2 linked regions of the Oryzias latipes genome follow. The protein of the gene in region 1 purifies or fractionates together with the protein of each later gene. This does not show direct contact. Links are inferred from orthologs where the notes say so. Each region holds a gene or a part of one and is shown on either strand. Other genes may lie near its edges. The genes, in order: gan and nudcd3.

What was found.
Region 2: the proteins of gan (region 1) and nudcd3 purify together in Homo sapiens (co-immunoprecipitation; 3 studies listed by BioGRID and IntAct, counting the BioPlex papers as one, with this or other methods). This does not show direct contact. The link is inferred for Oryzias latipes from reciprocal best matches to the Homo sapiens genes GAN and NUDCD3.

What each region holds. Positions count from the first base shown.
Region 1 is NC_019864.2:26,282,364-26,286,764, reverse strand, and holds the start of gan (gigaxonin), read left to right. Parts: upstream 1-1,409; 5' UTR 1,410-1,558; intron 1,559-1,912; exon of another isoform or gene 1,913-1,938; 5' UTR 1,939-1,978; coding exon 1,979-2,163; intron 2,164-3,335; coding exon 3,336-3,450; intron 3,451-3,528; coding exon 3,529-3,879; intron 3,880-4,152; coding exon 4,153-4,221; intron 4,222-4,401. Other genes in the region: uncharacterized protein LOC105354257, read right to left, coding at 1-470. UniProt on the Homo sapiens protein: Probable cytoskeletal component that directly or indirectly plays an important role in neurofilament architecture.
Region 2 is NC_019870.2:1,857,103-1,861,367, forward strand, and holds the start of nudcd3 (nudC domain-containing protein 3), read left to right. Parts: upstream 1-1,245; 5' UTR 1,246-1,380; coding exon 1,381-1,578; intron 1,579-1,949; coding exon 1,950-2,233; intron 2,234-2,302; coding exon 2,303-2,435; intron 2,436-2,500; coding exon 2,501-2,644; intron 2,645-2,726; coding exon 2,727-2,915; intron 2,916-4,265. Other genes in the region: mrps24 (28S ribosomal protein S24, mitochondrial), read right to left, coding at 800-835.

The sequences.
Region 1 (4,401 bases):
TGAACCAGAAGGCTCTGCCAGGTTTCACGGATCTTCATCCTGACGGAGGAGAGGCTCGTGTAGCAGGGGGTGAGCTCTTTAACCGGACCGGCTGCGATGGTGCCCAGCTCTCCCACAGATAGGTAGAACCAGCATTTATTCTGTTCTGTGTCCATGTGAAACTGCAGCCGGTAGTCCTGGATGAGCACCGTGGAGTTGATCATGCCGTTAAAGTACTCCCGGTCTTCCCGCTCCTGCAGATTCTCCCAGGCCGAGGCGGTGAGCACGGCCGGAATCCAGATCAGCCCGTCTGACAGAACCAGGAGCTCCGTGGGGCCTTCGCATCCGCGCGCCTGGGACTGAGTCATCTGATCCAGCCCGATGACGTGAGCCTTCAGCCGGCCACGTCTACCATCCTCAGGGCCGCCGTAGCTCAGGATCAGACTCTCTATCCACGGCGTGAGCCTACTGGGACCATATTGATGAAGCATATCTGTGGTTCAAACTATGCGCCTACCGTCCACTTCCGGCTGGAACACAGCTGCGCAGAGTGATACTTCCTGTTTCTCAATTGGTCCACCGGAAGTGAAAACACTAGCTCGTTTATAAACCGCTACATTTTTTTATTTTCTGTTGATGCATTTTGAGAAGAAAACAACTCATATGCGATAGTTTTTAGAATTTTAATTCCTAAAATATTATTATGTTTTAGAAGATTTCGTTCCTAAAACAAAAGTTTAGAGGGTGGAAATTAAAGCTAAAATAGGAAAAATCAAACCTTTTAAAAACCACTCTTCTGATAACGTTTTCCCCCAGTTAGAAATTATTTTATTGTCCTATTTATGGATTTATACCAAACATGATGCTTCCTTCAAAATAAAAGCACAGCAGTCAGCATAGACGTATCATGCGGCAGTCAGGAGGACCTAATATATATGTCTATGGTTAGGTCAAGAAAAATGTATGGCAACCATTACAAATTATGTGTTAACTTACACCAATCACAATCTGGAATTGTCCGTTATTATACAATTATAAAAAAAAAAAAAACTATTTTGTGTTTTATTTTGCAGTACGTAAAAGAAGCATTGGAATTACAAACATCTAATGGTAATGCCAATGTGACCGGTTACTTTCTCGTTACTTTTATTTATTCGAAAAAAGGAAAAAAGGTTTATCTTATTGGATTGCGGCATCTATCGCACTCCCCATCCTACCTGATGATACGTTTACGTGTCATAGTAAAAAAGGAACAGCCAATCTACTAAGTTTGAAATGTTAACATTTATAAATAAAGATGTACACATAACTGTGAATGCGCCTTAAAATCTAATTTTTCGCAATTAAAATCTAGGTCCAAACGATTTTACTGAGGTTGTGTGTTCGTGAAAGTGCAATCCATAAATGTAAAAGGAAATTTCAAGTTTACCGTGTGTCATTGAAAGCAACAAAAGACATGCCTTTTTTAACGTCTACTTGCTAAATTCTTGCCTGAAGAGATCTTCGTGTTCTTCTGGGTTGTGCTTTGCACAAAAGACGGGGAAAACCTTTAACTTTATTTTAAAAGAAGTTTCTTCAGGTAAGGCATTTTTACCATCAATTTCAAAAAGTATAGTACTTTAATTTAACTGTAACACGCAGCGCCGAAGGCAGTCCTGCCATTTGATTTACCTGTTTATCAGTAAGGTTACGCTGCTAACCCAATATCTTGTTAATCCTGTGGATTTGTATACTACGTTTAAATGTAATGCTGCTGTTGTCAGAAGATTTTCCCCCACATTTCCATTGCTGCTAGCTTAGCTGTGCTAGCCAAAACTTATTGAAAAAGTCGCCATTTTTAGACGTTTCGACTCCGTGCGTCACTATGGCACACTAATACTGCAGTTTATTTTCCACCAAGAGTCCTAATTCAACCCTTAATTCGGCTCCGTAGCGACTCATTAAAGAACTTGTTGACAGCGAGGAGTGGCTCGTGCTTCGGGCTGTCACGTGCCGAGACATGCCCAACTCTGCGTGCAGTGATCCCGGCGCCAGGGTTTCGGACCCGCAACACTCCCAGAAGCTGCTGCGAGTCCTCCGGACCTTCTGGGAGGAGAAAAGCTTCCATGATGCGGTGCTGGTTGTTGATGGAGAGGAGCTTCCGGTGCAGAAGAACATCCTGGCTGCTGCCAGCCCTTACATCAGGTAAGGTCACACAGGGAGGGACGTGGGTGGGACAGACTTTGATGGTTCCCAGGTGAGTCCGCCTTCAGATGCCTGTGATGACTTTGTGTTCTTGCAGGCTAAAGCCGGTTGTGTGTTGACATTTTTCAGTCTGCAGTGGGAAAACATGTTAGTCCAGGAGTAGTAGTCACTGCTGCTTTTAGCAACTTTTGTCTCGCTAAAGGAGTTCCTCAAGGATCCATGTTAAGACCATCAAGGTGTGTCCCAAATAGTATCATAGTCATAAACCTACAATCAGTTACATATTTCAGTTGTATTAGTTGATGTGACAGGATATGGTGATACATGTTGTGTTGAAAACTGCAAATTGTCCAAACCATAAAGAAAATATTTCCCATCTGTTTTATTTTCATCCATTTCTGGCCCACAAAGTTGGAACCAACTTTTGACCTTGTGACCTTAAAATCTACCTGTGAAACAGATCCCTCAAAGGTGTACAATGGACAGGTGGCAAACAAGCAGGCTTGCTGCCATGGAGGCTTGCTGCAGCTTTTGTCCGTTAGCTGTGAAGCAAACTTTGAAATGGGGTTTAAGTTTCATTTGAAAAGGCCTGAAAGGGTCTTAAAAGTACATAGAGAATATGATAGTTTTCCCAAACCCAAAAATCTACATTTGGCATAACATTAAATACTGTTTTTGGTTCCTTGCACATGAATATCTCTCCTTTTTATATAGACGCAAAAGAAATAATAAGGACTAAATGTAGTCGTGTTGTGTATTTGTTTTGGTTTTGTTTTGGGGGCTGTGCCTCTATTTTTTGTTGATTAAATCATTATTCTAAAATCAGGAACACACACATGTTTAGGAGAGACTTGTTAAAAAAGAAAAAAAAAGAAAAGAAAACAGAACATAGAGCAAAACAGCATTTCACATATGCAATATATATATATATATAAACACATATATTAATCTAAAAGAAACAACTCAAACTTACATTTCTTTGTCGTTTATTTATTAAATGACACCTTTACTGTTTTCGTGTTTTTTATTTTTTAAATAAAATACATTTTTTTGGCAGTTCTACATTTGATTTGTGTATAATTTTTCTTTATTTTTGTTACCAGAAAATCCCAAAGTTGTGCAAAATAGTTTGTTTTCTGATGTGTTGTTTTTTTTTTTTCTTTTCTTTCAAGGACCAAGCTGAACTATAACCCACCGAAAGGAGACGGCTCCACGTACAGAATCGAGCTGCAGGGGGTTTCCATGGCCACCATGAAACAAATCCTAGATTTCATCTTCAGCGGTGAGGTGAGTCCCGGAGCGTCGCTCTTCTCTCTGTGAAGGTTCATGTTTTGGGGTCTTCATTTCTGTGCTCTCTGCTGTCAGATTACCCTGAGTGAGGAAACCATCCAGGACATGGTTCAGGCGTCAGACATGCTTCTCATGACCGACCTGAAGGCCTTGTGCTGCCAGTTCTTGGAGAGCTGCATCACTGCAGAGAACTGCATTGGCATCCGCCTCTTCTCTCTGCACTACTGTCTGCACCACGTCCACCACGTCGCCACCGAGTTCCTGCAGACCCACTTCAGGGACGTGGAGCTCACAGAAGAGTTCAGGGAGCTGCCTCCGGAGCGCCTGTGCGAGCTGCTGGCCATGGAGAAGCTCAACGTGGGCAACGAGAAGCATGTTCTGGAGGCTGTGGTGCGGTGGTTCGCCCACGACCCTGATGAGCGCAGGGTGTGTAAACCCACTACCTCTCCATGTTTTACCTGCTTATGAAAAAACTAAAAAAGAGGGAAACGTTGAAATTTAGAAACAGAACTCCCCCAAAAAACTTGTGAAAATCTTCAGACCTGTTGTTAAATGGCAAAAATGTACTTTCTGCTGAACTAAAACTAGAAAATCTCCCAAAATGCAATCTAACTTTGGAAACTCAGCAGATTCTGCCTCGTGGCTGATGGAGTTGTATGGTTTGGATACACTGGAAGTGAGGTTTTGGTTTGTTTGCAGGTCCACATGAAGCAGGTCATGTCATCTGTGTGGCTGCAGGGTTTGGACATCAGCTACCTGAGACAGCAGGTCTGTTACTGTCACTTCTGCTGTGTACCATAAAGAGAAAGCATTTTTGTTTTGTTAGCTTATCATTTATCTTTTTTTTTAGCTGTTTTTCTTCTTTCTATGGGTTAACATGAGAAAAAAGTCCACTTATTAATTCTAGGAATTTGTATTTTGTTCTTTTCTCTTTTCCCATAAGAACTC
Region 2 (4,265 bases), on another chromosome or scaffold:
TGGTTTTATTTCTGATTTGAAAGGTGAACTATTAGAGCTCGCAGAGAAATGGAATAATGGTCTTTAGTTTGGGAGTTGAAGAACCAATGATGACTTTTCACTCTCAGATACAAACATATGAATGAAAGTTCATATGAAAGTCTGGACGAACAGATCTGGACCTAATCTGAGCCATCAGTGCAGAAGTTTTTGCCTCCGTTCCATCTAAAACTACCTGTTGTCGAGTCTTTAAGACAGAAATAAACTTCAGCTTGTTGTTCAAGAAAGAAGGAGAAACACGTCTGATTTTTAAATCAACCCATCAGCTTTCAGAGTTGATTTAAAACTAGTTCCTTCGTTTATAAATGTCTAAATGGATCCAAAATACTTTTTTGAACCTCTTAGAGCCCTCAGATCCTCACATGCAGGTCTGCTCTACTTCCAAATGTTGAGAAACACTGAGAGGTTATTAACTGAAACGAGATCTTTAGATAGATTTAGTGTCATTTGAATGCAGCGCCCTCTGTCGGTGGATCCTGAAACCAATGGGTTTTCTTCAAATGCTGAAAACCTTTCCGGATTAAATCGTGGCTTTAGCTCACTTGGATTACAGACACGCATTGATTTATGGGGGGAAAAAGTCTTTAAAGAAGTTAATCGTCTCTTCGTTCTCGGCAGGCCAACATTTCTCACAGAAAAGCTTCTCGTTCGTAACCAGAATATCATCGTTTCTGAGACGTCATCATTATTTTTAAGAAAAGACGTTTTCGATAAAATAAAATGTCTTAGATGTTAATAAATGTTCATTTTGTTGTCTCACCAGCAGCCTCCCGCCGCAGCTGAAGGACGCGGCCATGTTTTCTTGTACCGTCTGAAGCGGAACTACTATTGTCCTTAATCTATGTTGTTTTATAACAACGTTTTTATTTAAAAAGAACAACAAAAACGCATGCTTTATATTAAAAACAACTTCCAAACTAAAAGTGTCGATCAAAACAGCCCTTTTTATGTTTTTATGACCGTTTGTTTTTATGTTGTTTCTTAGGGAGCGTTTATGTAGCTGGAACGGAAATAAATCATTTTTTACAGTATTTTGTTGTTGTTGTTTTGCGCTTGATTTCAATGAATAAATAAAATTAAATTGGTGCATATTTAAGTGGGCTCTCTAATTTGTAAATTAGCTTGCTTCAAGATGATTTCGACGAAAAGCAAGCTAAAAAAACAAACAAAACGACTGGTGTGCTCTTATTTTGACATGGTGGTACCGGAAACTGCGTCATTGTTCTGGAAAAAGACAACCGTAATCAGAGAGACAAAACAAACCGGCCTCATTTATACACTGTCGTTCGTGGTTTTGGTCACTCGGGTCATTTCGGAAAAGGGCTCGCGCTCGCAGCCGCGATGGCGTCGCCGCTGGAGATGACGGAAATGTACGACAACGCTCTGCTGGGGATCCTGCAACACGTCGGAAACATTCAGGACTTCCTGAGGGTCTACTTTGGGTTTTTGTACAGAAAGACGGACTTTTATCGACTGCTGTCCGGTCCCGACGACAGGATGGGCTTCCCTCCTGGAGTCGCAGAGAAGATGGTGCTGAAGGTGAAGTTTTGTAAAGGCGCTCGCGGCGTGGCGCGTGCCTTCCTTCCGAGCGTTTGCCGCGAACGAACCAAAGTTTCAGATCTTGTTTAGATTCGTGTTCTGGTTTGGGTTCTTGTAGAGATGCGCCACAGATAATAATATCTACACTCTAAAAACACATCCCCAGCGTGTTTCAGGACCGTTTAAAAAATGTTTAGGGGCCCTGGGCAAACCTGACTGCAGGGGCCCCGTCATCTCTCCTGCCGCTCAAAACCCCAGACGCCTCTTTCTACTGAGCTGGTTTCAGTGGAACCAGTGCCTCTGGTTCTCCAAACTCCTTCTGAGCTCCAACTGGTTTCTGGATCCCACGGCAGACTTTCTTTTGTCCGCAGACGTTTAGGCTGTTCGAGCAGATGGCGGATCAGGACCGGCAGAGGGCGCTGAGCCAGCTGCAGAACGCGGAGGAGAGCCGCGGCGTTCCTCCTGCAGTCCAGGAGCTGCAGGTCTCCTCTGAGCCCCCAAAGGCAGAGGAGAGGAGCAGCGTGGAGGCGCCACAACCGGAGAGCGCCGCCAGCGAGGCTCCAGACGCTGCGGCTGCTGCCGGTGAGGCTGCGGCCCCCAGCGGCAGAGGAGCTCCGTCGTCTCAAGGAGATGAAGCGGCGGCGGCGGGAGAAGGGTGAGCATCCGGCGCAGAGGAGGAGGAGCTTCCTGGACGGGCCCGCCTCCTGACGGGTTTGTTTTTCAGGAACCAGGACATGTTTCAGGCCAACCCCGACAGCTACAACGGAGCACAGAGGGAGAACTACAGCTGGTCTCAGGACTACACGGACGTGGAGGTCCGGGTCTTCGTGCCGAAGACGGTGGTGAGAGGCCGACAGGTGAGTCCGAGCCGCTGCGCCGCCAGGAGGTCGGCAATCCGGCGCTGACGGGGGCGTGTCTGCAGGTCAGCGTCAGTCTGCAGCCCAGCGGCATCAGAGTGTCCACGAAGGACGGCGGCGAGGAGAGAACTCTGATGGAGGGGGAATTCACGCACAAGATCAACACGGAGAACTCCCTGTGGAGCCTGGAGCCCGGGAAGTGTGTCGTGGTGAGAACCGGGACAGAACCGGGCCCTGTTCACCAGGAAAGAGCGCTCTCTCCGGGCTCATGTGGGTGTTTGTGACTCGCAGCTGTCGCTCAGCAAGACCTCCGAGACCTGGTGGAACGCGGTGCTGAAGGGGGAGGAGGAGATCGACATCAACCGGATCAACCGCGAGCGCTCCATGGCGACGGTGGACGAGGAGGAACACGCCGTCCTGGACAGGCTGACGTTCGACTACCACCAGAAGCTGCAGGGCAAACCGCAGAGCCACGAAATGGTGAGGAAGCAGCTGGGCGCGAGGGGCGGGACTTTAGATCAACGCTTTCATCGGAACAGCCAATCGGTGCTGAGCCCAACAGAAGAACTCACGGAATAGAAACGCGAGGATCGTTTAAAAAAAGGCTCATGGGCACTAAGGTAGAAAGATGCTAAACTAGCTAAATATAAGAGCGTAGGAACAAAATTAAAAACGTTATTTCCAAAGTTACGTAGTAAATAAGACGCATTAAACAACCGGTGCATCATGTGAGACGAAAGACATTCTGGACCTTAGTTGTATTACACAACGCGTGTTATTGCTGTTTAAGCCACTTTAGCCGCATAAGCCACGTTTGCCATGTTAGCCACATTAGCAGCGTAAGCCAGCTTAGTCATGTCAGCCGCATTGGCAACGTATGCCGCGTTAGCTACGTAAGCTATGTTTGCCATGTTAGCCGCATTAGCCACATTATCTGAGTTAGCCACATCAGCCGTGTTAACCACATTAACCACGTTAGCCCCATTGGCCGCGTTACCTGCGTTAGCCACATTAGCCGCGTTAGTCATGTTAGCCACGTAAGCATAGTTAAAAACTGCCAACCATGTTTGGGACACGTAAAACTGTTACTGGTAAAATAAAACGTCACCCTGACTACGCTAAATCCCAACTTTTGTAATAACACAGACATGCTATAGTAACGTATTTACCATAAACCCAACCGTTTTTTCAACTTGTTACAAAAATTGACATTCTGACAGAGCGCCATGTTCCTCAGGAAATCAACAACAATCAACATCAGTAAACAAAAGCAGAATTAATGCATAAGCGACACACACGGCTCGACAACTGTTGTAATGCCGGTAGAGGTGTTCTGCTGCAAGTCGCCTGTCAATCAACAGACCACACCCCCATTAGCACACGATTATGACTTGTAATCGTGTTCCCTCGTTTATCGTAAACGTTCTAAAACTACGGGACGGATGTTTTAAAACTCACTTTCTAGACTTTTCTCAGACAAACATTTTCACACTTTTCTCTCCTTCAAACTGACAAAATTCAAACATTCGTAGAAAAAGAAGTTTAGTTTTATAGAAAGAAAACAAAGATCTGATCAGGATTGAAGATTTCTGTAAATGTGGAAAAGTGAACGCATTCTGTAACACAATGGAGGTTAAGGATTTTAAGATTTTGTTGTTTTATTTCTTGGAAACTTTGAAAAGTTTTTATGTGAAAATGTGTCAAAACTGACTCGTGTTCAAAACGTCCCCTAGTGGTCACTCTGTGAAATCCACAGACACCAATCAAAGAGTAAAAGCTGCTTCTTTGTGCATTTCTGAAAATTGAGGGGAAAAACAGAAATAATTTGAA